Regions from separate parts of the Mus musculus genome. Here regions 2, 3 and 4 are each reported to be linked to region 1. Evidence: microRNA targets listed by miRTarBase, many of them from high-throughput screens and not tested one by one. Region 1 holds a microRNA gene; each other region holds the end of a gene's coding sequence.

What was found. Region 1 holds the annotated microRNA mmu-miR-466q (GUGCACACACACACAUACGU, at 3,545-3,564, shown strand). A microRNA usually pairs through its seed, bases 2 to 8, with sites in the 3' UTR of a target mRNA and lowers its output. Matches are read on the target gene's strand: a 7mer-m8 pairs with bases 2 to 8, a 7mer-A1 pairs with bases 2 to 7 and ends in A, and an 8mer does both.
Region 2: the mRNA of Cavin3 is a reported target of mmu-miR-466q. The part of its 3' UTR that is shown has no 7-base or 8-base seed match.
Region 3: miRTarBase lists Wdr26 as a target of mmu-miR-466q. The part of its 3' UTR that is shown has no 7-base or 8-base seed match.
Region 4: miRTarBase lists Trpc6 as a target of mmu-miR-466q. The part of its 3' UTR that is shown has no 7-base or 8-base seed match.

Annotation. Positions count from the first base shown.
Region 1 is chr3:28,416,444-28,423,567 of GRCm38, forward strand. Mir466q (microRNA 466q) reads left to right here and starts at 3,500; the gene lies at 3,500-3,575. The region is part of intron 2 of Tnik (TRAF2 and NCK interacting kinase); the gene reads left to right.
Region 2 is chr7:105,475,025-105,482,127 of GRCm38, forward strand. Cavin3 (caveolae associated 3) reads right to left here. Exons shown (of 2, transcript NM_028444.1): 1 at 6,752-7,103; 2 at 5,592-6,195. The coding sequence ends at 5,797. Among named protein-coding and RNA genes, the nearest start is that of Cavin3, 3.6 kb to the right of the region's middle.
Region 3 is chr1:181,171,920-181,179,026 of GRCm38, reverse strand. It overlaps Wdr26 (WD repeat domain 26), which reads left to right. Exons shown (of 14, transcript NM_145514.5): 14 at 1,196-5,801. The coding sequence ends at 1,221. Among named protein-coding and RNA genes, the nearest start is that of Cnih4, 25 kb to the right of the region's middle.
Region 4 is chr9:8,679,380-8,686,503 of GRCm38, reverse strand. Trpc6 (transient receptor potential cation channel, subfamily C, member 6) reads right to left here. Exons shown (of 13, transcript NM_013838.2): 12 at 6,961-7,036; 13 at 5,763-6,090. The coding sequence ends at 5,939. All of the region lies in intron 4 of Gm32014 (predicted gene, 32014), which reads left to right. Among named protein-coding and RNA genes, the nearest start is that of Gm32014, 58 kb to the left of the region's middle.

The DNA.
Region 1 (7,124 bases):
TGTTGTGTGTGTGTGTCCGTGTGTGTGGCACACTGATGTGTGTCTATATGCATGTGTATATTGCAGGAGAATGATAGAGGTTGGTGTTGGGGGTCATCTTCCATAGCTCAGTTCCACTGAGGCAGGATCTCTGCATCAAACCTGAAGCTCGCTGATTTGAGCACTCTATCTAGCTTACTCTGGGAATCTCCACTTTCCTGGGCTGGAATGACAGCTGGATTGCCATGTGCATTTATGTGTGTTCTGGAATCCTAGTTCTGGTCCTCACACTTGCCTAACTAGTGCTTGAGTTACCCAGGCATCTCTCCAGCGTCTACATCCCATTTTATACATGTCAAACTGTACCCATTTAACTCTTCGGTGGTTCACTAAGCAAATCTCAGGAGACACAAATGGAACAAAAGCACCGGCTTGGAGCTTCCAAGGGAGCAATAGAGGATGGGTGGATTGAGTGGTGAATTATACTCATGTGTTTGTGCATGTGTGTGTGTGTGGGGGGGCACAGGCACACATATAAGTTATTTGCACATGTGTGGTGGTCATAAGTTGACCATATGTCTTCACCCACCTGTTTCTACTTCCTTAGCAGTGGTTTTACAAAAACATATCACCTGACTTAGGCTTTTTTTTTAAATGTGAAAATTAGTACATTTAGTAGTTATATTTTAGAAAATTTAAAATACATAATGAATCGGGGGGGGGGGACCCTTGTTAAAAGAAGACAGCTGACACAAAATGTGAGAAGCACTCTGTTCAGTAGTCTGCTGTGAATACTTACCAAGGAGAGGGCAGTTCACAATGAGCATGTGCAGAGTGGCTTGAGCAGGTGACTGTTACTGTCACTGCAGTTGTCAGGGATCTGTCAAGCAGCTGTTCGGGTCATCAAGTTTACCATGCTCCTGAGACAACCTCTGTCTTTCCTCTGTGTGTGTATCTATGTGTAGATGTGTACTGGCACACACAAACCTTTGTCTTTGTGCGTAGGAGACCTGAAGTATCTTCCTGGACAGTTCTCTGTTTGCTGAGGCATTTCTCAATGAAATCTAACACTTGCCCATCCACTAATCCAGTTAGACAGCTTGCCCTGGGAATCCCTGTCTGGGCCTCTCTAGAGCTGGGATTACAAGTGGCCACGATGCCTACCAAGCTGTTGTGTAGATTTGAAGGTCTGCACACCGATCCTTATGCATAAATGCTTTATCTACTGAGCTATCTTATCAGGCTGACAGTGAAATTATTAAAACCATATGTTACATAGAGTCCAGTCATTTCCATTTTTATGAATTATCCATGTTATATATTAATAATTTTGGAACAAGTAGGACAATTACAAAAAGATCTTGTAGTTGGAAATTATACTGCCCAGAGTTAATTTTTTGAGGCTCATCATTTTGATGCATCACCTTCTAGACTTTTCAAAAATTCCAGTTTGGTCATAACAGATATACAATGATATGCCTACCATTATTTGACCTGGAGTTATGTTTAGGCATAGAAATGCATGTCGGTGTCGCAGACCCTGCCCTTCCTCAACAGCCCAGAGTGCAGAAGTTTGACTTGGACCCATGAATGTCCCATGGATATATATATATATATATATATATATATATATATATATATATATAAGCATTTCAAAAAAATTACCCTCTTTTTGAGATTATAATATAATTACATCATTATCCCCTTCCTCCCTCCAAACCCTCCCACAATGCCTTGTGCTCTTTCAAACTCATCGCCTCTTTTATCATTATTTATTGTTACACACATACACACATATTAGGAATGTATGTATGTATGTAGGTAGGTAGGTATATCTCTAAAAACATAAATACAACCTATTCAGTTAGAAACTATATCCATAACATCTAAACATGAGCTGAACAAGGGCAACACTAGACATGCTGAAGTAGGCAGTGGAAAGCCCTCCATCCTACACAAAGACCTACAAAATGCGGAGAACAGGAGAAATTGCTTATCCAATACCAAATGGACAGCCCTGGAAATATACATACAAGGGACATTATACACAGCTTGGCTTTTGCATATCAGAATGGTGTACAGGGGAGCTGGTCTCGAGACAAAGCAATGTTAACTGTAGATTCTGCTCTCTAATTTCTTTTAAGAGTGTATCATTTGTCACAGTGCTCTGCCAACTGCTAACTGCAGTATCGTTTGTTCTGTTGGTCCACTAAGAATGCCTGTTGAAAACACACAAGTGCTGCAAAACAGCGCCAGAAGAAGCCTTCACAACTCTGATTTCTGGGTCAACTGGTATTGGAACATGCTTCCTCGGGTGAGGGTTCTTAAGAAAAAAGATTGCTGGAAAGCGGGCACCAGAGTAGACAGAGACAGGCATGGGATGGGCTCCAGCTTCAGTTTTCTCTTTCAGTCTTGAACAAAGTACCGACCTCTTCTGAGCATCAGTATCTTCATCGAGAAGCCATGGGCAGCATGCATGCTTCTCATCTGATTAGAGAGTTGAGATGGAGATACATAGGGTGCTCCTGTGTGCAGCAGGACTCACTCATGACCTCGTTTCCTCTTCCCTTGTTTTTTACGAAGTCTGCAGAGAAGTGCCAGTGCCCAGATTAGTCAGTGAACGATGATAATGGCATGCTAATATTTATCCAGTGAAGCACTTTGCACAGAACTATTTGTATCATGTTTGTATAATTAGAGGAAACGCTTCTCATCATACATTATGATGTGAACTTTCCTTCCTAGGCTCCCGGTAATTAGATTTGGGTGAGGAAAAATTCCCCGAGTTGTAAAAATATACAAAAACTTTTCTCGAGTTTGCTTTGTGTTTTATATTTGTGACTAGAGTTTGCCATTTCTCTTTTTATTAGGTGCTCACCACAAGTATGTTAATGAGTGGAAGTAGTGGGTGAAAACTGGCGTTTGAGAGCCATGTTAGGTTTAAGCTGACATGAAATTCATATTTGGAGAAACAGAGTAGGATCCGAAGTGACTAGGTAGTATAAATGCTTCAGAAAGCCTCGGTATATTCCTTGAAGAAAATAGACAATTGGATACTTTTTGCTCTGGGCTGTGAAAACCCTTCTGAAGAATGTGGCATCTGGATTCTACTCAGCTGAGTCCACATGGGTATACTACTAGTAGACTTTACTACTATCTGGGGGGTAAGGTGGGGTTTGCAATAGGTGCAAATAAAACTTTATTGAAGTATTAAATGTATATATCACAAGAGAGTGCTTAACAGTGGGGTGGAGCAAAAAAAAAAGAGCTGAGAAATTTTCATGCAGAAAACTGAAGGAATTTAGTGAAATTCTTTATTTTTAACTCCTTCCCATGCTTGAAACAGGGGTCTCTAGTCTAGCCTGGTCTTGAACTCAGTCCTCCTGTCTTAACATCCTGGGTGTTGAGATTACAGGCAGTCACTACCATATTTATCTAAAGTCTACCTTAGGAAGACCCCTCTACTCCTGAAACAGTTTTAAAAATCTCCTTTATATTCTTATTACCTTCTCTTTAGTGTGTGTGTGTGTGTGTGTGTGTGTGTGTGTATGTGTGTGTAGTATATGTGCACACACACACATACGTACCCATGCATGCCATATCTCATCTCTGGAGATAATAGGACAACTCGTAGGAGTCAATTTTCTCCTTTACCCAGTAGTGCCCAGAGACTGATCTCAGGTTGTCAGGCTTGGCAGCAAGCACCCTTACCCTCTGAGCTGCCTTATAGGTGTGCTTTATATTCTTAATACTACTGAAGAGTGCAAGAACCGTATGTTTGGATGGATTGTCTACCAGCATTTATTATAGTGCCAATAAATGTGATTTCATTAAATACAATAAGGACTTTTTAAAGCACAATATTACTAATGCATAACACAATGTCCATTAGCCGCAGTGATGACATCATCTTGTGGCATGCAGCCTCTGGGAAACTCCACTGTACAACTGTGGGGCAAGAGCGAAAATAGCATTTGATGTCATTGTATTAATATATAAAAAGGGCTCCAGAGACTCAGAGGACCTCGGGCATCTCTGAGGACAATTGTAGTGGCTTGTAGTCACTAGAGAGGTCACGCTGATCTGTCCTTCCGTAACCCATCACTCCATTCCAGGATGAATGACATTATTCACAGGGTTAGAAATGAAGAAGGCAGAATTTCACAAGTGGCTCGTGGCCGAGATTTGGTACTGCAGGAGCACAAGAAGAACTACAACAACAGAAGCATTTCATTTGCCATCACTGTGTATCTTTGCATAAGTATTTTTTGCACAAGTTAGGTTAGATCTACATCAAATGAAAAGAGTGGATGTATTTTAGTCAAACTGTGTTAGGAACTTCTGGCCTATAATAGCAGCCAAACATGGGATGTGTGTGCAACCTCCAAACTGGGAAACACTTAAGAGGTGTTTCCTTGAGCTCCTGGCTTGCTTGGCTAGGGCAAATATGACGAGGAGCCTACCAGGTGCTCTGCTCAGAGCTGCAATGGGGAAAACCCCATCCAAACGACAGCAGAGCACACTCAGCTAGTAACAGCTAGCTCTCATTAGCCCCTCACCCGATACAATTAACAGAAAAGAATGAAAGACAGAATAAGCTTAGGAAACAGGTAAAGGGTGGTTTAAGTATGGTCTTAATTCTTTTGAGACAACCATCCCTCCTCTCTCTCTCTCTCTCTCCTCTCCCTTTTTTCCCTTTAATGTGATGTATTTATTTTTATTTCATGTGTATGGCTGTTTTACCTGCATACATGTCTGTGCATCATTTGTGTGCTAGGTGACTGTGGGTGGGAGTCAGTCTCAGTCTATCTAGATTTACAGATGGGCTGAGCTATCATACTGGTGCTAGGAACCAGATTAGTGTCTTCTGTAGGAACAGTGTGTGCTTTTAATTCTGAGCCATCCTGCTAGCCCCACAAGTGCCCCCTTTAAAGCAAACATCTGAGAGTGGCCACAGATCCTTTGAATATTTTCCCTAAATTCACACTGGAGGAGCCACCTTAAAACACAAAGTCTCCTGCCAAGTCTCTCCTCTGGATTGGCCCTGCTGGATTGGTCTAGTCAGTTCCCATCACCATTGGCTAAGACATCTGGCCACTAGGACGCAGAGCACACAAACATTGTCTTTGCAAAAGCTCAGTCAGCGTTGCTGGGACGCACCTTCACCCTGACCACCAGGAGCTTATTTCCCCCATTGATTTGTCTTTCCAGTTTCCTGTGGCTTTAGATCTTTTCTTTTACTCTTTAATGAAAATCCACACGAATGAGACCTTTTGCTTCTAAAATGCTAAGTTGTTGTTATTGTTTTTTGGGGGGTTGCGTGGGGGGATTTTCATTGTTTAGAATTTGTCCTGATGCTCAAGAGATTCACTGTTGGTCACCCAAATGAAAGGCTGTCGCTTCGGTGGTCTAGAACTCGTTTTTTTGTTTTACTTGCCTCTCACACTTGCAGATCTGTGATCTTGAAGCCAGAGAAAGAATTCCACACAGATTCCCAAACATAACATTCTTTCTGACAGGCAAATAATTCCTCAGGTTTTCAGCTGTTGCTGTCTGCCTTGTGTGGCTTTTGCTTTCTGATGTGGTCGAGCTATGCCTTTATGGTATGGAGAAAGGATGGCAGCTGAATAGTGTGTGCTATGTAGCCAGTCATTATGTTAACGATGCGTGCTTTAGCTAACTGTGCTCCCTCTGCTGGGAATCTACTATTTGTTAGTGTCATCTTGGGTCTCTTTCTCAACTAGAGCTTGCTCATGGCTCCCTCCATCCTTCTTAGCCTCATCATCTGGACTCCGACATTCTCACTGTCAAGTGGTCTTGCCATTGGCATCTGTAAACCTAACAGCAGACATTTCCCTGATATTACGTAATTCTTTTCTATCTGGGATTATGTCACATTCCTGAAGACATCCCAGGCAGAACACCTTGTTTCCATCTATTCACATCTCACCTCCATCTCCCTCTAGAGTTTGATCCCACATGGTGCAGCTTGCCCCAGCCCCCTGTTAGGGCAGTCATCACCCAGTGATGGGCTTCCTGCCCAGCTGTCTGTATATACCCACCACACACTGGAAAGCTCTTCCTTGCCATAATCTGTCTTCCTAACTCCCCATCATCTGCAAAGGAAGGTGTTGCCCTTTTTCTGAGGAAGTAGGCCAGGAGTGGTACCTTTCTTATGTCATCAGGAAGCTCAGGTTAAACCATGTAGGTACTTACCCATACACAAGAGCTTTCAGAATGATTTCTTACAACGTGAAATTGTGTTCTTGACAAACTGGAGATATCAGGAGGAAAATGTGTGAGACGAAAAATGTGTGCCCAGGTCTAAGCTGTACATTTGGAGGTTATATCCAGTAATGCCATGCATCCTTAAGGGTGAGCATTTAGTTATGTAACATGGATATTTTGAAATGTTATATACCCTTTATGTATTTTATAAATTGAGAAAAAGAAGAATTTGCACTTTTGCTTATGAAGATCAGTGTACACTGATATCAGATACTTGAATATCTTATATATTTCTGTGTATTTTACAATGTCAAATGACAGTTATGACAAGCAGCCACCCCCTAGATAATTTGCATAAGTGGTTGGTACCAATGTCATGTATGGGGTTCACATAGAATCTTGAATTTGGGGGTGAAGGTCAGAAATTACTGCACACTGTTAAAGCAAGGTGGTTGGCCATTTCCCCTGTCAAAGTTCTCCCAGCATAACTACCTATTTATTTTGCAATTGAGCAATAAAAATGAGGGAAGTTATTTTTATCTTGCTTAGCTTTAATAGAAATATGACCTTTGAGTCACATGATACAAAGTTAATTTTCTTTGACTTTATGAATTTTGTATTTGTTGGTGTCAGCACCTCTGCTTTTGTTACGTTTTATTTCCATGTCTTTATAATCTATAAAGGAGAAGGAGCACTTCGTAGCATGAATCAGATTTTGCAAAGTAGACACAACTGGAAAGAATGTTTGATAACATAAGGACCAGGTGTACTGGCTAGTTTTGTGTCAACTTGCCACAGCTGGAGTTATCACAGAGAAAGGAGCTTCAGTTGAGGAAGTGCCTACATGAGATCCAGCTGTAAGGCATTTTCTCAATTAGTGATCAAGGGGGAAAGGCCCCTTGTGGGTGGGACCATCC
Region 2 (7,103 bases), not on the chromosome of region 1:
CAGCAACTAGAAAAGGAAGTCAGGTTGGCATGAAGACTGCTGAAGGCCTTAAGAGGCTTTCCCTGTAATGGCCACCCCTGATGGAACAGAGCACTTAACTCCAAACTGTATTACAAGGTGGGCATGGTGCCACTCAGGAGTCTATGCAGGAGAACTGAGAACTCAGGGACAGGCTGGACTACATAGGGAAGCCCCGACTCTCAAGTACAGCAACTTCTGTTACAAAGGCAAGGTTCATGTGAACTCCATAAAGGCCTCATCCTTTTCAGGAAGGGGGCTTTTCCAGACAGGGTCTTGTAGGCTCTCATGCCCTTTAACTCAGTAATTTTCTTGCCTTAACCTCCCAAGAAGCCACAAATATCAAAAGAACAGTATTTTTTTTCCCAGTACTAGGAATTGAATCTAGCACCTCATGCTGAGCAAATGATCCACCAGCGTGCTATCCTCACCCCAAGTTAAACAGTCTTTTTTTTTAATTCTCATAACAGACCTGGTAAAGAAAATTGGCAATTGCCAGCCATGAAGCCCAGATGTCTTTGAATATGAAAGCTATGCTCCGATGGCAGCTGGACACCTACCAGTTTAAAACATGTTTGTTAAAACAATCCACAGGAAAAAGCCAAGGCTTAAAAGAACACAAAACAAGGACAAATAATGACTGGGCTGAGGAGAGATTGGGGAAGTCCTAGATGACTCAGCCCGGTGTACCCTGCTATATATAGTAGGCCTCCTCCAACATATCCCAGGAGGAGAAGCAACTGCCACGGACGGGAATCATAGTAAGAGATTCTGACCTCAGGAGATAGGAAATGCTTCAGTCACTGCCCTAGTGTGCTTACTATTGCTGTGATAAACACTGTGACCAAAAGCCACCTAAGGAGGAAAGGGTTTACTATACTGTTAAAGAAACACAAGCGCACGCATGCGCGCGCGCGCACACACACACACACACACACACACACACACACACACCACACACACACACACACACACACACACCACACACACACACCACACACACACACACACACACCACACACACACACACACACACACACACACACACACCACACACACCACACACACCACACACACACACACACACACACACACACACACACACACACACACTGATTAAGTAGAAACCACACCCAAACACCTGTTTTCACAGAGAAACCCTCTATTAATCGAGGAAGAAAAGTTAATGTCGCTGCTTTCTACCCCAGGCAGAAAAACAGCAACAAACGACCTTGCAGGTGTAGTTTTTAAGAAGAGAAAAAGGGGAGGTCTGCGTTCGAATGGGCTAGGATTCAGTGGTGTATCTTGATTGGGCATGTCAATTAGGTGAGCCAAAGAGGGGCTTTTGATTGCTGGACTCCAATACTTTGACAGCTGGGCTTTGCTCGGCAGTCTCAGGAGGAGGAAGTGACCAAATAAAGGCATATACCTTGGTGACTAGCTTTAGGGATGTAATCTAACAGCTTTTAGCAAGGCAGAGGTGATGCAAAAGAAGGTCAAGGTCTGCCAGAGCCATGTTTGCCAGGCCCAAGCTGGCTAGAGTACCTTCAATTATAGCTTGCAGGTCACCATATTAAACAACCCAGGACTAATTACCCAGAGGTGACATTGCCCACGCTAAGATAGGTCCTCCCACATCAATCATTAATCAAGAAAGTGACCCCACTGACCTGCCTGGAGGTCAATCTCAATTAAGGTTCTCTCTTTCCAGAAGATTCTACCTGGGTCAGGTTGACAGAAAACTAACCACTGCTGTCAGTTACGTTGTCTAAAAAGAGAGTTGATGGGAGGAAGATAGTGAGCTCCTGGACTCCGGGCTTTCTCAAACACAGACCAGATAAAAATAGACAAGACTGAGCAAGACACTCTAGTGGACACAATGACCTTGAGGGGTCTTCAGGACTGGGGTTATGAGTCCTCTACTTACAAGAAAGAAAAGCCCAAAGGATTTCCTGTATTTACTCAGGGGAGAAATTCCTCACCATGAGCGCATGTATTCTTTATTGCTGTAGAAGAAATATCCCATCAGAAAACAGGCTCGGTCACCTTACTTATTATCTTTATATGCTCTATGATCTGTCTGACGTCTCTCGTAGGCTCTGTGGCAAGATGAAAAATGTTCTCTCTGGCTTACTCGGCAGTTAGATTGCTTAAGGACATTAATGAATCTAGCAGTAGAGTTCACCAATCTTTCTTGAACTTCGCTATTTCAGCTGAATCATGCTGCATCAGCAAATACATCTCCATTTCTGGCCTAAAGATCTGAGAGCCAACCTCTGAAATTTAGTGGTCCATCGGTGTGTGTCCACCTGCTTACAGCAGCTGTGTCTGTCTGTGCTGCACTGTGGGGCAGCTGGTGCTCGGCCTGTGCCTCTCTGCCTTTGCATCTATAACCTCATTAGCAATTACTGTAACTGTGACAATTGAGAACATAATGTAACCAAGTGGCCTATTAAGAAACAGAGCTAATTTTGTTTTCATTTGATTCAATTATTTGCTACTGTAGACCAATTAGGAAAAAATGAAAACTAACATTCTACCTTCTTGGAAGTTCGCCAAGTCTTTGGGTTTCTAGAAATTTCTGGAAATTAAGAACCTAGACCTTTTGGGTACAAAATATTCTTCTAAGGCCTTCCTTTTGTTTTGAGTTAAAAGAGAGAAGTCAGGTGGATTCCTAGGGATTTGAAAAGTCGAGGCTTTATTTTTCCTGTCCCTGTGAGTGGCAGATTTCTGAAAGTAAAGGCAGCAACCTGGTGTGGTGTGGTGTGGTGTGGTGTGGTGTGGTGTGGTGTGGTGTGGTGTGAATGCTAAGGTTTGGGAGCCTGCAGGAGGAGCCTCCAATTTCCCCCTGTGCCCCAGACCAACAAAGTCAAGTGAATCAACTGTTCCCTTTCTGGAAAGTCAAACCAAGCTGACAGAGTTGTGGAATGTTGGATGAAGCAGCAGCTAGGACACTGGTACCCCAATAGTGACACCATGTGGTCAGAAGGAGCACCAGCAGCACAAAAACAATGAGTGGAACTTCCTCCAGTGCAGTTGTCAGTCTGGCAGAGTGGGGTGAGGTAGCAACCACAACCACGACCAGGTCATAGAGCATTGAGGACTGAGCAAGTAGTGCTCTGGACCCTGAAACAGGTGTGCCTTGCTGAGTTTTCTAGGAGATGAGATTTAGATCACGTAGCTCAACACGACAACATAGTTTCAGTACAATGAGAGCTCTTGGGGCTGGACCCTGAGCCCACATGCTTGTGTTTTCATGCAGTTCATAAGCATAGCTTGAAGGGAATTTCTGTATAAAACATTTGGTGCAACAGCATTCCCATAGTGACCTGTCACATGAGGTGAGGTGTGATCTCCCACTTGTGACATCATTTCAGTGCTCGGAGTTTTTAACCAGAGACCGTCTTGCGTGAGGACACCCAGCAAGAGACAGAAGGAACCAACTCACAAGAGGTCTTCAGGGACAGTGGGAAGCTTTAGCTCTATTGTGAAGGTGATAAGAGACAATAAGGGGGTGAATCGGGAGACTGGCAGGATATGGCAGGCAGTCTAACCCTGGTCCCGTGAAAGACTGCCTAAAAGGGCTACAGATAAGAATGTGAACGGGGAGTCAAGTCCATGATCATTGCTTCCTTGTGTGAGGGAGCGACAGAATCGTTTATCCAACCAGAAAGCTTAACTTTAATTCTGAATCATACTCAGCAGGGCCTGCCACATAGTAGGCACTCAATAGATGACTGTTGGTTTTGAATGGAGCTTATTCAAAAGCTATAAAAGAATATAGGAGCTGGAGAGATGGTTCAGCAGTTAAGGACATCCATTGCTCTTGCAGAGGACCTGGGTTCAGTTCCTAGCTCACAACTATCTGTCACTCAGTTCCAGAAGTCCCAGTGCTCTCTTCTGGCTTCTGTGGGCATTAGGCATACATGTGGTGCACATACATACATGCAGGCAGAACACAGAAAATAAACCTAAAAAGAATGTTTTAAATTAGAAAATAAAGGGCCAAGGATGGCCCCAGGGGTAGGAATGTGTGTGTGCATAAACCTGGTGATCCGAGTTCAGTTCCCACAGCGGGAAAAGAGAGCAACCAGGAAAAGTTGTCCTATAACCTCCACACATATGCAGAGATACAATGCTTCTGTTTGTTTGTTTAATATGATAAAAAACAAACTTCCAGAGTCACTGGGCAACTTCTGTCCCTTAAGTGACATAAGAGAGCAGGTTGTCTCCCAATCACATGCACGTCTTCTGTGTGTGCCATCTGGCCCAGAAGTACCCACTGGTGTCTCAGCCATTCCTCAGATCTAGTCACAGCACCCATAGCAGCTCCACCAGATGTGTGGGCCAGCTGCTATCTGTACACCCGTAGTAAGACATCATGAGCAACCAGCTGTGCTTCTGCCCTACCTGGCCAAGGAGTGAGAAGCTTGGCCGACTTCAAGCAGCTGGGCTTACACGCAGACCCCTTTCCTAAGAAGGTAGTAGCTAATCCATCACACACACACACACACACACACACACACACACACCGTGCCCACTGGTATTTATGATGACTGCGCTTGTGCTGGATATGGGAGTGCCCACATAAATGGTGGTGAACATCAAACATTCCAGAATATTTGAAAGTCCATGAGACTGACATGACATGTCCCCTCAACGGGGAATTAACACTGCAGTTTCTCTATTATGCATCAAGTGGGAAATTAATTCTGCATGCTATACTAACTACTGAGAAGATTGGTTTTTAAATTTTTAAAATGGGTGCCGGCTTTTGGCCTGAAATGAGGCAGATTGTGGCAGCAGGCATAGCATCCATCTGTCTGCTTTCTCCAACTAAGTCTAACCTCCTTCTTTTCTCTGTCTCCCAATAAGACTGACATACTATGGATAAATCAAGGGCATACTCCATTGATTAGATCACAAGCCATTCTAACACACACACACACACATACACACACACAGAAAGCTAGCAAGCTCCCAACAATGAGCCTTCAGGGAACCTTTCAGATTCAAACCCTAACAAGATCTAAAAAACATGGAGGTCCTATTTTTTTTTTATTTTATGCATTGACATGAAGACACAGTCAGTTCGTCACACTCATTGTGAGAGATGCTCGATTCTAGGAGGCCTGGATTCTCTCAACCTATCAGATTACTCATTTGGTTTTGAAAACAATGAGTGCTTTGTGTGCTTTGTTTTGTTTTGTTGGCAGAAGGAAAGTAGACCAAGGGCTGTTTTTGGATTGCTTTCTAAATGCACCCCAACCCAATGGTGTGAGCTGTCTGTGAGTGTCAGACACCAGAAGTAGGAAGAGTGCATTAGCTGACATTAACTAGGGCGTTTTCTTCAAAGAACTGCATACTGCCCCGCCCCAGGCCGGGCCCCAAAGTTGTACTTATGTGTCCCCAAGAGGAATGTATTTAAGCAGTAAGTGGCCAATATTTCTCCGTGCCAATGGAGGACCCAGGATTCGGTGAAAAGTGAGAACGTTTGTCATTCAGCCCATTCCTTCCCCAAGCCATGCGCATTGTCGCTCGCCCTTTCTCATTGAGTCTGGGTTAGAGAAAATTGCTTTTATTGGTGGTGAACCTAAATTAGGCTGAAAGCTCCTCTGTCAGAGGACACAGGGTTCAGACTGGAAAGCCAGGAAGGAAGCTTTGGAGCTGGGCAGTGGATGCAGGATTCTCTCCTTATTTGGATGTAAGTGCTGCACTCTATAAGTACTTATTTTGGGACAAGGCTTAAGCACCGAATGGGACAGGCAGCCCCAGGGATCAGGCTGCGCTCTCTATTTGAAGCACGGGTTTCTCAGGATCTTCCTTGGTAGGTTGAGGAGGTTCTGGCTCCAGGGCAGTCTCGAGCTCGGACTCCATTTCAGGCTGAGCTGCAGGCTGGCCTTCTGATGGGCCTTCAGAGCTCCGGACAGGCCCTACGCGTGGCGGCTTGACTGGTGTGGGCTGTGCTGCTTTACGACTGGAAAGAGCCCTTTTCAGGCTTTGAACTTTCTGTAAACCAGTGCGGCGCAGCCGCTGAGCCCTGGACTCCACTGGCTCCTCTTCAGAACTCTCTCCAACTTCATCCTCTGGCTGATCTGGGCCCAGCACCAACTGGTCCTCCGGACCCAAGAGCTCTGGGACTTTCTGGAAGGCGCGGGCTGGAATTTCAGTCTCCTCCTAAATGTGATGACACAGCTTTTGATTCTCTGATTTGACCCTGGCACTTAGCCAGGACCAGCCTGAAACTCTCTTGCCCGCCCGCCAAGGGAAGCTACTCCACCCTTTGCATCTGCACTAGGAATTGGGGCCAAAATAGAGGAATGGGAAGATGGGGGATGGGGAGGATGGAGGAGCAGAGAGATGAGCAAAGAGGGGGAAAGTGGACCTTGCAAGTTTGCAAAGTGGATGAAACCGTGTAGAGTGTAACAGCTGTATAGGCGCTTGGAGGAGGCAGAGTAACACCTAACAGTTAGTTCCATGTGGGTGCGACTGACCAAATCCGCAGACTGGCCTGAGTTAGGGAGGGCGTGGGTTGGCCAGGCTGGGAGTGAGAAAGGGATAAGGTCGCTGTTGTGAGAAAGTGGGTGCGGCTCTGAGAGTCTTCCACAAGTGAGGGCAGCACGCTGGGTCAGGAATGTGGAGATGCGGACGGGTGGGTGGCAGGAGTCCTTCCCTCGGTGGTAACCTAGAGGCGAGGGTTGGGGGCGGGAGAGGGATGCCTGAGGTCACTGACCTTGAAGAGCAGGACGTGCAGCTTCCCGCGCGCCACCAGCAGCCCGTGGTTGGCCTCCAACCGCTGCACCTGAGCAGCGCGACGCACGGCCCGCTCCTGGGCTGCGTCGGCGTGCGAGCCCACGCGCTCCGCCTTGGCCAGCAGCTGCGTCAGTGTGTTGCTGGTGGTGTCGTGGCTGCGACTCAGCGCACCCAGGCCACTCTGTATGCGACGCACGGAGCCCGCCAGGCCGCCCTGCCTCTCAGCCAGGCCGCCTTGCCGCTCCCGCAGAGCCTCCAGCATGGTGGCCAATTTCTCCAGCAAGGTCACCACGGTGACTGCGTGCACCGGACCCCCTGCGGGCGTCTCAGGC
Region 3 (7,107 bases), not on the chromosome of region 1:
ACTTTTTTTTTTCTTAAAAGAGAAGTTGCTGATCTTTTGTGTTAAGTTACAAAACTGGTGACTTCTGATTTTTGTTTGTGTACTTAGGGGATATAAAATGGAATAGGATGAAGTAGTTAATCATGCTATGAACAGAAGAAGGGGCACTAACCTAGAAATCAATAGGCTGAATGGAACATACTAGAAACAAAAATATACCAGACATAGCACGTGGTGTGATTGCATTTTATATTGAAGTAGTATAAAATTGACTAATCCCCAGACCAGAGGAGTGGTTCTTATTTTTATGAGACTGTGTGCTTGCTCCTAGATTGAGAAGCTGGTCTAAAGGTGTAGACTGGTGCTACACCAGCTGTGAGTACTCTGAATCGTGATATTCTAGAGGAGCTTATCTTACTCTATGGGAACTGTACTGTAAGAAACGGCATGCGTGCCGGGCGTGGTGGCGCACGCCTTTAATCCCACACTCGGGAGGCAGAGGCAGGCGGATTTCTGAGTTCAAGGCCAGCCTGGTCTACAAAGTAAGTTCCAGGACAGCCAGGGCTACACAGAGAAACCCTGTCTCGAAAAACAAAAACAAAAAAAGAAACGTCATACGTACACTTTTCCCAAATGGAGCTGCATGGTATGGTCGACTTGGAGCAGCTGAAGGAGTTGAGGACACAGTTGGAATGTGCAGCTCTGCCTCCCTCATACTACCAGAGTTTTCTTTCCATCCTTTTTGTTATAAACTAGCAAAAATCTTCTTATTCTAATTATCTATTTCAAGCTTAATCTTAAAAATAGGAAATCGGGCATAATTATGCATGCCTTTAATCCCTAGCACTCAGGAGGCAGAGGCAGGTAGATCTCTTGAAGTTCAAGACAATCCTGGTCTACCTAGTGAGTGCCAGGACAGTCAAAGCTACACAGAGAGACTCTGTCTCAACCCGACCCCTTCCCCCCAGTGACAATGTAGAAATGGGAAATTCTAATTACTCATTCCCTTTGTCCCTTATTCAGCATAGTCACAAGGTTACAATTTAATGTATCACCTAGAAACTGGGAGAGACAACTGTTGTTCAGTGGTTATGAAAGTATCAATAATTTGTTCATTGTTACTTAAGTCTACTGTTCTTGATGCTGATTTTGAAACTTTCTAACTGGTATCTTTTTCTCTCTTTTTCCCTGCACATTTCATCCGGTCTTCATTCAGAGGAATGCAGTAGCATGGATAGTTGATGGCAAATTTGGAGCAGACGACTTCTGTTTAACTTAAAATTAGTCGTATTTTAATGGCTTGGGATTTGGTGCAAACAAACATGATTGATAGCTGGACAGACATGCTCGTCATGAAAAAAAAAAAAAAAGAACCATTTTGAAGCCCGATTGGGGCCAAACATTTACACCTTGCTTCCTAGTAACCAGTTGATGAAGCGCGTCTAGAACGTTGTTGGACACCATGTTGAATTATTCCCCATCGGTTGTGAAGAACTGTGCTACATTCAGGCTTACCCATTGAACTCAGTATATATATTTTTTCCCTCCTGCCTTTTGTCTGGTGGGACACCATTCTTGTTGCTCTTCTGTGTAATGAAGTTCAAATGCTTGTTTGGAAACTTTATTTAACAGTTTAGAAGGCTTGATAGGAAGAGGTCATTAGTCTGAAGAGTATACATTGGACAGGAAAGAATTTCCTTTCGTTTCTCCAAATCTTTCCGCCTTATTTAGCGTGAGATCTTTGCAGCTTGGTTCATGGATTCTAGCCTTGCCCGTTGCGCAGTATATGCTGATCAGATGATAAACCAGTGAACTATGTCAAAAGCACTCTCAATATTACATTTGACAAAAAGTTTTGTACTTTTCACATAGTTGTTGCCCCGTAAAAGGGTTAACAGCACAATTTTTTAAAAATAAATTAAGAAGTATTTATAGGATTAAAGTGACTTCATTTGTATACATTTGGAATCTAAACCAGCTTAAAAACAGTGTCCTCTGTGACTGAGATATGCAGTGTAACTGATGCTCTTCTGGAGTGCCACGTGAGACATGGCATGGTCAGAAACAGTGTTCAGAAGGACACGGCACAGGAAAGCCAGAGAGATACTTTCCCCTTTTTATTTTATTCCTGAAGGGACATCAGTACCTGATACTGAAGAAATTCAAGATTCAAAAGGAAAATTTTATAAATAAACCAGTACAGAAGATCAGCATCAGTCTAGGTTTTCAAGAAAGCTTGTTCCAAGTTCTCTGAACTTGAGGGAATCGTTTTGATGTGATCTAGCAGAAGTAGACATCAGAAGATAGACCTACTTTGGGAATTTATAGTGTAGTTAAATCTTAGAGGAAGTCAGCAGGCTACAAACATTTATGTAAACTGGAATTAAAGCCTGAGTCATTTCTCCTAATTGCCCTTAATGTCCAACATATAGGGACACTCATTTAAAGAAGATTCCTTCTCAGCTTCTCAGATGTTGCCATAATGAACCTCATTCAAACTGGTGCTGTGGACAGTCTTTCCCTCTCCCTCCCCTTTTAGTTTACGGGAATGTTTCCTTTATGGAAAAAAAGTGACTTGTCATTTTGAAGACCCTATATCTAACATAAGCCTGATTGATGTTCATGGTGTTTTCAACTCCATAATTGCTGGGTCTAACCAGTCTCCCTTGAAATCCATGTTTTCCAATAGGAGATAACCAGGGTGACCACAGCTCTTGGAAGGAAAAGTGGAATTAACTCCAATGTATCCTGATGAACAACAACAACAAAAATCTGGTACAACTTGCCCTTGAGGCCAAGCCAAGTCCATAGCATTCACCATGATCATATGCCCCTCGGGATCCTGAGAGAAGAGAGAGGCTTGTACTGAGGGGTCTTCCCATTGTGGGGGTCGCAGGGAGGGAAAAGCCAGGAAGGCAGTGGTCATTCTCCCAAAGTCCACCCATCGTAAGGAGGTGACAGATCGGAGTCAGCAGATTAGTAATTCAAATGGGTAATGGAAAAGATTCCTTTAAGCTTCATTTTTCAGAGACCATCACTTTAGAAAATCAGAGAAATCCTGTTTTGATACTTCTTAGTTAAAATAATATGTTACCGTTTATCTGGTACTTCATTTTCTTGACTAAAATTACTTTTCACTTTAAGCTTGAATAAAAATTTTCATTCATAACTGTATATAATTAAGTGGCAACTCCTCTTTACCTCAGTGCAGTTAAGACCATCTTTTGATTGATATACCCTGAAGCCATTAATCCATACACCTCAGTCTACAGTAACAATCCCTAACACCATGTGGGCACAGAACTCCACAGCTGTTTACAGATGTGGTTACAGTGTACCACGTGGCATGTGCATGATGCTCCCTGAGGGCTGTACCCATCAGGGCAGTTTTGTATCCAGCTGCACCTAGACCCGCCTGTTCACTGCTTCTGAAGTACATTTAAAAACACTGGGAGGTAAGAGCGTGCCCCGAAGGTGAGGGCCATGACCAGAACATAACTCCTGTTAGAGTGGAGTTACAACTATGCAAAGGTGTTGATAGTAGCTAGGTGAGTTCGGTTTCCAAGTCTGTCTTAACTGGCCGCTCCCTCTCTAGACTGGTACTTGACTGTGCCAATTTGCTGTAAGCATCTGTTTCGTATATTTGCCATGAAGTGAGTGTGGTAGAAAGGTGAAGAAAGCTAGGGTTTATGGTGGAAGAACCTGGTGACAGGATTACGTGAAAATCTCTGACATTGTGATAAACTCGATAAAGGCTTAAGAGAATTCTGTCAAGCCTGCCACAAGATGCTAACCAATGTATAAACTGAAAAGTACCAATACTTTTTGCACATAGATCAAAATAGTGGAGAATTTTGGCTCCAAAAATCAGGTTAGTAGGCTCAATTCCATGTGCTTAAAATGTTTCTGTTGTTAATGCATCGATTAAGGGCTAGAGTAAGAATGGAATTAAATGTCTTTTTCCTCTAAATTAACTGGTTATTAGTGGTAAAGTGTTGGATTTGGGGGGGGGGTCACTGAGGTTGGTTTGTGGGTGGTGATCAAAAGAATTAGCATGGGAGTTAGGGGAGATGACGAAGCTTCACACTTGGGGTTTGAATTCCATTAGTATTCGTGCCAGCTGTGTGGCATTGCTCTTCCTGGCCAGTTAAATGTCCTGGTAACCCAGGTAAGTAGTAAAAACAGGGCATTTTACTTGCAAATGTCCCCTTAAATTGGCTCATTTTATTGGGTAGGAGAACAAAAACTAGAATTCTCCGACTATAAGTAATTAAGTGGACCTGCTAGGCAAACAGAAGCAGTAATTCCGCAAGAGCAGTTGATGAGGAGCAGTCTGCCTTAAGGGGCGTCCTGTGGCATTAATAGAAAATCCTTTCCCACCCCTCCCCATCTTGAAATTTTCTTTTCTAGGATGTTGGTTCCTGCAAACAAGAACTGACCCTCTGCCTCCCTTGGGTACACGTCTTGCACATCTCTTGAACGGGGGCAATGCCTATGTCGTTTACTTTACAGCAGAAGAATGGGAGGAGAGGAGATACATTGTCTTAGTTGTTCCCATTTTAAAAAAATATATTTTTACTTAATTTTACTTTGATGTCTCATTTAGACATCACCAACTCTCCCTTTGTGTTGCTGGCCAAAGCATTCCCACCATTTCCAAAACCATACCTGATTTCACATAAACTGCTAACTTAAAGGGTGAATTTGCATTTACACTTAGACACTTTCTAAAAACAGGGTGAAATTAACCTAAACTTTGCAGTGTTGAGTTATTGTTATAGTCGCTGCCCTAGAGTTGCAAAAACAAGCTGTAAAAGCCCATCCCCTATCTACTTAATCCAGATTGCCTGGATTTAATGAAGTTAAAAGAGTGTGTGTGTGTGTGTTTTGTGTGTGTGTGTGTGTGTGTGTGTGTGTGTGTGTGTGTGTGTGTTTGAGTGTTTGAGAAAGAACTTGATTCCTAAAATATTCTAGAAACAACTTTTAGGTTGTCATTTTTACTGAATGTCTTGTGCACATGTAAAGTACCCTCTCTTGAGTTTAAGGCTTGGTTAATACTTGTCTATTTTTATAAAACTTAAAACTGTGTCCCATCTTTAACTTAGACATTTACATTATCAGGATCAACATGCTAGAATTAAATAACATTTGTAGGCTCAGTGAGGGTAAATGTTATTGGCAGAGAGAGAGAGAGAGAGAGAGAGAGAGAGAGAGAGAGTGTATGTGTGTGTGTGTGTGTGTGTGTGTGTGTGTGTGTGTGTGTGTGTGTGTGTTTTCCTGAGGGAGATCCCGAAAGCATGTATGTGCTTATAAACCAAGCTGTAGAGATCATGTAAAGACGCTGGGTGTTGCTCTGGAGGTTTCTGAGCTATGGAAAGGGATAGGGCATTGTGGTGTGATGTAGCTAACACAGAGCTCTTGGTATGGAGTAACAGTTAACTATGGACTGATGTTTCCAGACGATTGTGTTCTTAATGGGGTTTGCTTTTTTATTTGCCTCTCAGATTATGTTTAGTAGTTTAAATTTCTTTGTTTTATTATTTCATTAAAGTATAAAAACTTCAGGTCTCATATTTATTTTCACTTGTTCTACTAATTATTTACAAGACACTTTTTGGTTGACATTTATTTTATAAATGTGTGGTATATTAAATGTCTTTAATTTTTTTTGTTTTATTGAAATTACAGTAACTTTGATTTGCTTTACTGGGATTTTTAAATTTTATTTTAATTCCACTTTTTCCATGTCAGTGCACAGCACTTGCCCAGTCCTTTGTATCCCCTTTCTGTCGATTCAATAAACAGAATGAGTAATTAAGTAATTCTCGTTGCGTTCCATCTCACCAGACTGCCGAACTGGTGGCCATGACGTAGGGTTTGTGAATGGAATCTAAGGAAACATTTTTAGTGTACCTGAAGGCCATTGAGCACCCAGTCATGGATAAGGTAGATTCCAAACCTGTACTTAAGTAGAAGCGCATGTGAGACTCAGCTTGGAGTAGTGGTGGGTTAAGATTTCAATTTTCAAATCACTCATTAGAGGGAAAACACATTGAGATGGCTCAGTAGGTGAAGGGTGGTCTTTGCCAAGCCTGATGACCCAAACTTGATCACTAGGACCTATATGAAGCGGCAGCTGACTCCTGCAACAGCATGACCCCCTCCCAAGAAATGACCTCTAAAGAAATTAAAGGAGCATTTTTATTATGTGCGCTCACGTGTGCACCCATGCTCCCACTCTCTGAAATGAGAGACGGTATGGAGTCCCTTGAAATGTGAGGCATCAGACATGGATGCCAGGACTCTGAGAATCAATTGTTTTTATTATCTCCCATAGTTACATTGTATCAGCCTGTTACCCATCCAGTGACAGGGCATCACAAGACTGGGCTCTATGACTCCAGTGACAAGGGACTGACCACTGATTATGTGTATCTACTGGGTTACCGAGGGACACTGACAAACTGTTAATATCCTCAGTGCTTAGAGTGTTCCAGCCCCTATACAAAAGCCACTTGAATGAAACACAGTTGGTTTATAAGAGAGATGCTAATTCCCAGATGAGAGGAAGCAGCTATGAAGCTCAGATTCAAACCATACCTCTAAGCTCATGTCTATAGTCTTCCTTAGTCTATAGGTAGCTACTGATGAAAAAATTAGCTCAAAATTTGTTAGTCATTAAAATTAAATGATACAAGATTTCAAGAAGTATCTCTTCATTTAATTAACTAAGTTACTTAGCACTTCAAAGCCAGACCACTCTCTGAAAGCAACTAATGATAGACAAGACATTGAGCTGAGAATTCATGCAAGAAAATTGAGATGTTTTATAGTGTGATTTAAAACTTAACAAAGGGGATAAAGCAGACTTCAAGGCCATTTTAATCTTCATTTAATCTTTTAACCAAGTTCCAGGGCTACTCAAGGGGAAAGGGCACCAGGTGGTGGTGGCAGCCCACGCCTTTAATCCCAGCAGAAGACAGGCAGGTGGATTTCTTGAGTTCAAGGCCAGCCTGTTCCACAGAGTGGATCACAGGCCAGCTTGGGCTACACAGAGAAACCCTGTCTTGGAGAAACACAAGCACAGGGAGTGGGATGCCCCGTAGGCCTGGTTGGCTGGCTGGCTCA
Region 4 (7,124 bases), not on the chromosome of region 1:
TCTAATAAAATCGACTTCCAACCCAAAGTTATCAAAAAAGACAAGGAGGGGCATTTCATACTCATCAAACGTAAAATCCTCCAAGAGGAACTCTCAATTCTGAATATCTATGCTCCAAATGCAAGGGCAGCCACATTCATTAAAGAAACTTTAGTAAAGCTCAAAGCACACATTGCACCTCACACAATAATAGTGGGAGTCTTCAACACCCCACCTTCATCACTGGGGTAGACAATGCTGCCCACTTTCTCCATACCTATTCAATATAGTATTTGAAGTCCTACTCAGAGCAATTCGACAACCAAAGGTGATCAAGGGGATACAATTTGGAAAGAAAAAGTCAAAATATCACTTTTTGCAGATGATATGATAGTGTATATATAACTGACCCTAAAAATTCTACCAGAGAACTCCTTAACCTGATAAACAGTTTCAGTTAAGTATCTGGATATAAAATTAACTCAAACAAGTCAATGGCCTTTCTGTACACAAAGGATAAACAGGCTGAGAAAGAAATTAAGGAAAGAACACCCTTCCCAATAGTCACAAATAATATAAAATACCTTGGCGTGACTCTAACTAAGGAAGTGAAAGATCTGTATGATAAGAACTTCAAGTCTCTGAAGAAAGAAATTAAAGGAGATCTCAGAAGATGGAAAGATCTCCCATGCTCATGGATGGGCAGGATCAATATAGTAAAAATGGCTATTTGCCAAAAGCAATCTACAGATTCAATGCAATCCCCATCAAAATTCCAACACAATTCTTCAATGAATTAGAAAGGGCAATCTGCAAATTCATCTGGAATAACAAAAAACCTAGGATGGCAAAAACTCTTCTCAATAATAAAAGAACCTCTGGTGGAATCACCATGCCTAACCTGTACTACAGAGCAATTGTGATAAAAAAAAAAAAAACTGCATAGCAACAGACAAGTAGACCAATGGAATAGAACTGAAGACCCAGAAATGAACCCACACACGTATGGTCACTTGATCTTTGACAAGGGAGCTAAAACCATTTAGGGAAAAAAAAGACAGCATTTTCAACAAATGGTGCTGGCAAAACTGATGGTTATCATGTAGAAGAATTCGAATTGATCCATTCCTATCTCCTTGTACTAAGGTCAAATCTAAGTGGATCAAGGATATCCACATAAAACCAGAGACAGTAAATTTATAGAGGAGAAAGTGGGGAAAAGCCTTGAAGATATGGGCACAGAGGAAAAATTCCTGAATAGAACAGTAATGGCTTGTGCTGTAAGATCGAGAATTTACAAATGGGACCTCAAAAAATTGCAAAGCTTCTGTAAGGCAAAAGACACTGTCAATAAGACAAAAAGGCCACCAACAGATTGGAAAGGATCTTTACCTATCCTAAGTCAGATAGGGGACTAATATCCAATATATATAAAGAATTCAAGATGGTGAACTCCAGAAAAATCAAATAACCCCATTAAAAATGGGGCACAGAGCTAAACAAAGAATTCTTACCTGAGGAATACTGAATGGCTGAGAAGCACCTGAAAACATGTTCAGCACCCTTAATCATCAGGGAAATGCAAATCAAAGCAACTCTGAGATTCCACTTCACACCAGTCAGAATGTCGAAGATCAAAAATTCAGGTGCTGGCGAGGATGTGGAGAAAGAGGAACACTCCTCCATTGTTGGTGGGATTGCAAGCTTGTACAGCTACTCTGGAAATCAGTCTTGTGGTTCCTCAGAAACTGAGCATAGAACTACCAGAGGATTCCACAATACCTCTTTTGGGCATATATCCAGAAGATGTTCCAACCGGTAATAAGGACACATGCTCCACTATGTTCATAGCAGTCTTATTTATAATAGCCAGAAGCTGGAAAGAGCCCAGATGCCCCTCAACAGAGGAATGGATACAGAAAATGTGGTACATTTACAAAATGGAGTACTACTCAGCTATTAAAAAGAATGAATTCATGAAATTCCTAGGCAAATGGATCTGGAGGTCCATTTGCCTGGAGGTCACCATCCTGTGTGAGGTAACCCAATCACAAAAGAACTCACCTGATATGTACTCACTGATAAGTGGATATTTGCCCAGAAACTTAGAATACCCGAGATAAAAGATTCCATTTCCAAAACACATGAAACTCAAGAAGAACGAAGACCAAAGTGTGGACACTTTGCCCCTTCTTAGAAATGGGAACAAAACACCCATGGAAGGAGTTACAGAGACAAAGTTTGGAGCTGAGATGAAAGGATGGACCATCTAGAGACTGCCATACCCGGGGATCCATCCCATAATCAGCCTCCAAATGCTGAAACCATTGCATACACTAGCAAGATTTTGCTGAAAGGACCCAGATATAGCTGTCTCTTGTGAGGCTATACTGGGGCCTAGCAAACACAGAAGTGAATGCTCACAGTCAGCTATTGGATGGATCACAGGGCCCCCAGTGGAGGAGCTAGAGAAAGTACCCAAGGTGCTAAGGGGGTCTGCAACCCTGTAGGTGGAACAACAGTAAGAACTAACCAATACCTCCTAGAGCTGGTGTCTCTAGCTGCATTATGTATCAGAAGATGCCCTAGTCAGCCATCATTGGAAAGAGAGGCCCATTGGTCTTGCAAACTTTATATGTCTCAGTACAGGGGAAATCCAGGGCCAAGAAGTAGGAGTGGATGGGTAGGGGAGTGGGGGTGGGTGGGTGTGGGGGACTTTTGGGATAGCATTGGAAATGTAAATGAAGAAAATACCTACTTAAAAAAAAGAAAAAGTCAAGTAATCATTTGAACACATGCATGCACTCATTTGCATGTATACACAGGAACACACATAGGTGCATGTACACACCCACATAGTACACAGACACACAGGCACAAGCACATACATATAAATACATATGTAATGAGACTGAAACTATGAGTCTCATTAACCATCTATCTAAATATTTGTTCATGATTGTCTGCTTTTCATCAAACAAAGCAAAATATGTAAGTTTATATATTCTGTGAGTATTTATTGCTGAAGGCTCAATGTCACAGAAGGTTAGTACTACATAAACCTGTATGTTTGTCTGTGTTTTGTTATAAGAGATTCAGTTAAAAAAATGTGTGAGTAACAAAAAATTTCTTTCTCCCCTGTACCTACATCCACTTGGAAGCAGATCTTCTATTGATAAGAGCCTTCCTCATCAGAGGCTGTGGTCTGCTTCAATGGAACCTTGAGTGCTGGGTACAGACCAAAGTTTCTTATTGAAAGATTAAACACAGTATGAGACTCCACCTCTAGCCAGTGGAGAGTAGCAATAATGGTGAGGGAGCTGTGCTTCACTCTTGACCCTGGCATTTCTATTCACAAGTTATTTATATTTTAAAAACTTGGTGTTTGTCTTATTTCCAAAATAAGTATATGGTTTTCATAAGCATGGTGTCTGAGTAAGTTAGATAATGGATGTGGTGGTATTGTCAAATTGACAGTCTTGAATCATCTTGGAAGGGACTCTCAATGAGGAATTGCCTATGGACAATTGCCTATGGGCCAGACTAGCCTATGAACATTTTTATGATAGATTATTTTAATTATGTTTATTAATGAGGGCAGACCCAGACTACTGTAGGTGGCACCATTCTCTGGGTTTGGGTCCTAGACTGTATGACTAGAGAAAGCAAGCTGAATAGGACCCATGCATGCACGCATGTCTCTCTGCTCTTCCTATGATGAGCTGACTCCAGTTCCTACAGTATTGACTTTTCTGCTGTAATGGACTATGACCTGGAATTGTGAACTAAAATAAACCTAACACCCCATAAGTTGCGCTCTGTTTTTGAAACAGCAACAGAAATGAAACTTTGGTAGAAAATGGGTGTGAGAGGCTGGCACAAGGTACATGCTCAGTAATCCTTTCTCCCAAACGTGTGATGTCTCATTCCAATTTAGGTTCTAGCAGTTTCATCCATAGGCCTAGAAGATGAGCTAGTTTCTTGTTCCTGTGTCTAAACACCAGACAAGAAGCAGCTTCAGGGAGGAAGGATTAATTTTAGCTCACGGCTTGAGGAGTATAATTCCATCATGGCAAGAATACCATGCTATGTTGTTGGATCCATCACATCATATTTGACCAAGAAACAAGGAACACTAATAAGGACAGACCAATGAACTCTGTGCTCTGCTTTCCAGTGATTCACTTCCTCCAGCAAGATCAGTGCTTGCAAATATCACAGGGAATTGGATGTGGGAGTTTGTCTGTAAATTGCTCAGAAATGGCACAAAATTGTGCTGTCAAGGAACCAAAGAATTACAGTGTTTGGGACTTTGACACAACTGTAATAAAAGCGTTCTTATTGAGTAGTAACTTTTAGGTACAATTTAAAAAGTCATAATAAATAAGTTTTGAGGATTCATATTAGTTACAAAAGAAGACAAACATGTAGTATGTGCGTATGCACACACAGACTTACATAAACGTGCATGCACATATATACATATGTATGAGAACATGCACACACACACACACACACACACACACACACACACACTGGATAGCCCTGGTACTATTCACATTTTGATACTAATTCCGCTTCCCCAGGAGGGGCTGCCTGGGATGAGGAGTGAATCACTACTCCGGTGACTTCTTGTGAGCCTTCCCCTAATGAATAAAGATTTCAAGGAACCAGTCACTGGGCATGTAGGTGGGATTTCTGGATCAGAGAAAGGGATGGCAGAAGAGGAGAGGGTCTTGGTTTGGGGGACAGCAGAGGAGCATGGAGGCCAAAATGTAGAAAGCAGAGCCTCTCAGGTCAGGTGGAAAATATGTTGGGATCTGCTACCTGAGAATTAACTTAGAATGGCTTACAAATTAGAATGCTAGTTGCTGCACCCAACAATTGTGTTAACTGTTGGTTCTAAACTAAGTTTGGGTGGTGTTTTCCTTCATGTGGTGCTCAACTGGGTTCCAGAGAGAAAGGTACAGAGGCAAAGCGTGGGTTTGTAAGAAGTGTACTCCCAAAATCTTGGGAACCTGGAAGTATGGGGCTGGTGTGGTAACAACCAGCCATGGGAACTTAGTGAGCCAGTTGGACAGATTTAGGACCTCCAGATCAGCGAGTCTGCCAAGATGAGAACAGGCAGGTCTGCCCACCAATGCAATGCAGGTGGTAGCATGAATTGCTTTTTAATATTCCATGCTACACGCTACACACACACACACACACACACACACACACACACACACACACACACCATGTTCCCATGTTCCCATGTTCCCTATCCAGGAAAACCATTTTCATTGTTAAGTGTTTTTAAACAGGTGTGGCAGAAAATTGAACACAGGTATAGGCTTATTTTGTTTTGATTTTTAGACATGGTCTCATGTAGCCCAGAGAATCTTACCATGTAGCCAAGGTGGACCTTAAGTTCCAGACCTTTCTCTAACTGCCAAGTGCTGATCTAACAGAAGTTTGCTACCACACAAGGCTCTAAAGCAAGTTGGACCAGGCAGTATCAATTATTTTGAGTACCTAGATGGTGGTTACAGCACACTCTAAATGATTTTCTTCTATATTCTAGGGTAGGAAGTCCCTGGTGAAACGAGATGCTGCAACTCACTTTGTCAGGGAACAACAGGAGCACAGGGAACAGCTTAAACATACCCTAGGCCATCTGAGGCCCATTACCGAGCAGACAGGAGGGGCATTCACACCAGCACAAGAGTTACCCTCCCCCTACCCAAGAAAGCTATCCAGAAAACAAGCTCCAAGGAAATGAGCAGGCTGTTCAGCATTATCAGCAATTGTTAGCCTCAGCAATGCAATTTAATCACCCAAAAAGTTGATATTAGGACTCTAAATGATCCAAGTTATCAGTTAACATACTTTTTATCATTGACACTTAAAAAAATAAGTCAGAAAATAATATGGCTTCAAGTGGAGAAATAAATATGCACTTCTGAGGGGCTCTGCTCTATCTGCGGCTTTCCTCCAGCTTTGGCTCTAACGACAGTCTCTCCCCGAGTTTTCTAATGAGCTCTGCTAGGTCTTCTGTGTTCTGTGATTTCTCTTCAAGGAGTTCATAACGGAGACTTGAGATGTCTTGCTTAATTTCCTTCAATTCCCCTGTGAAGAGGAAGAATAAAAAGAAGTTAACTATAAATAACAGATGAAGTTTTCTATGAATATGAAGTGTGAACCAATGATTCCAGGTTAGAATAAAGACAATCCTGACCATATTCAGAATCTTTTCAAAGGAAAAGCTTCCCAATCAGAAAAAAACCTTTCTATTTTACTCAGGGAAGAAAATTAATTACAGCAAAATTTTAGTTATCTGGAGACTTGGAGAGTTGTGGTAGCACAGCTCGCCTTTCCCAGACACCTCCAACAAGACCCCATAAAAATTACAATGTTTCATCTAGACCATGCAGTCTCTGGACAAAGAGCTTCTGCCCTACCGTTTTGTACCTTTGATGGATGTGATCACAGCAAATATTGATTATTACTTGACAAGATCTAGGATCTTTTGGAGACTGACTAGCATCTGGACTAGTAAGGGATTTATGTCTAAGTGCCATGGGAAGATTCATCTAACCTGTGGGCTGCGCCAGACTCTTGGCAAGAGTTCTAATGGGACAAAAGAGAGCGTGAGCCCAACACAGCCACTCATTTTGTTCTGCAGACATAGTATAAGAGCTGCCTCCCGTCCCTCCCATCAGCACAGTGGGCTGTCCACTTTCACTCTACTTCTCCAACATGGTGGACTGTCCCCTTAAACAGTGAAACAGAATAAATCCTCTTTTCCTTTCATTGCTTTGTAGGGCAGGCTGCTTCAGCAGTGGGAAAAGCTACTAACACAGTCAGAGAGAGCTTATTCTCTATGGCTTCCTGAGGCTCATCTACTGCATGCCCAGCTCTCCCTCTCTCTCTCTTACCGCCACATCTGCACACAGCCTTAACTCATACTGGAAAGCTTTTTCCTTATGGTCAACTCACCTTCATTCACCTCATCGCTCTCCTTATCAATCTGGGCCTGCAATACATATCTTTTAATGAGTCTCTTCATGATTTTCTAGACAAGACAAGGAGAAATCCACCTCAGCATTATGTTCATGCAAATATCTCATTTAGAATAGGGTTCTGGTCTACCTGCCTTTGGA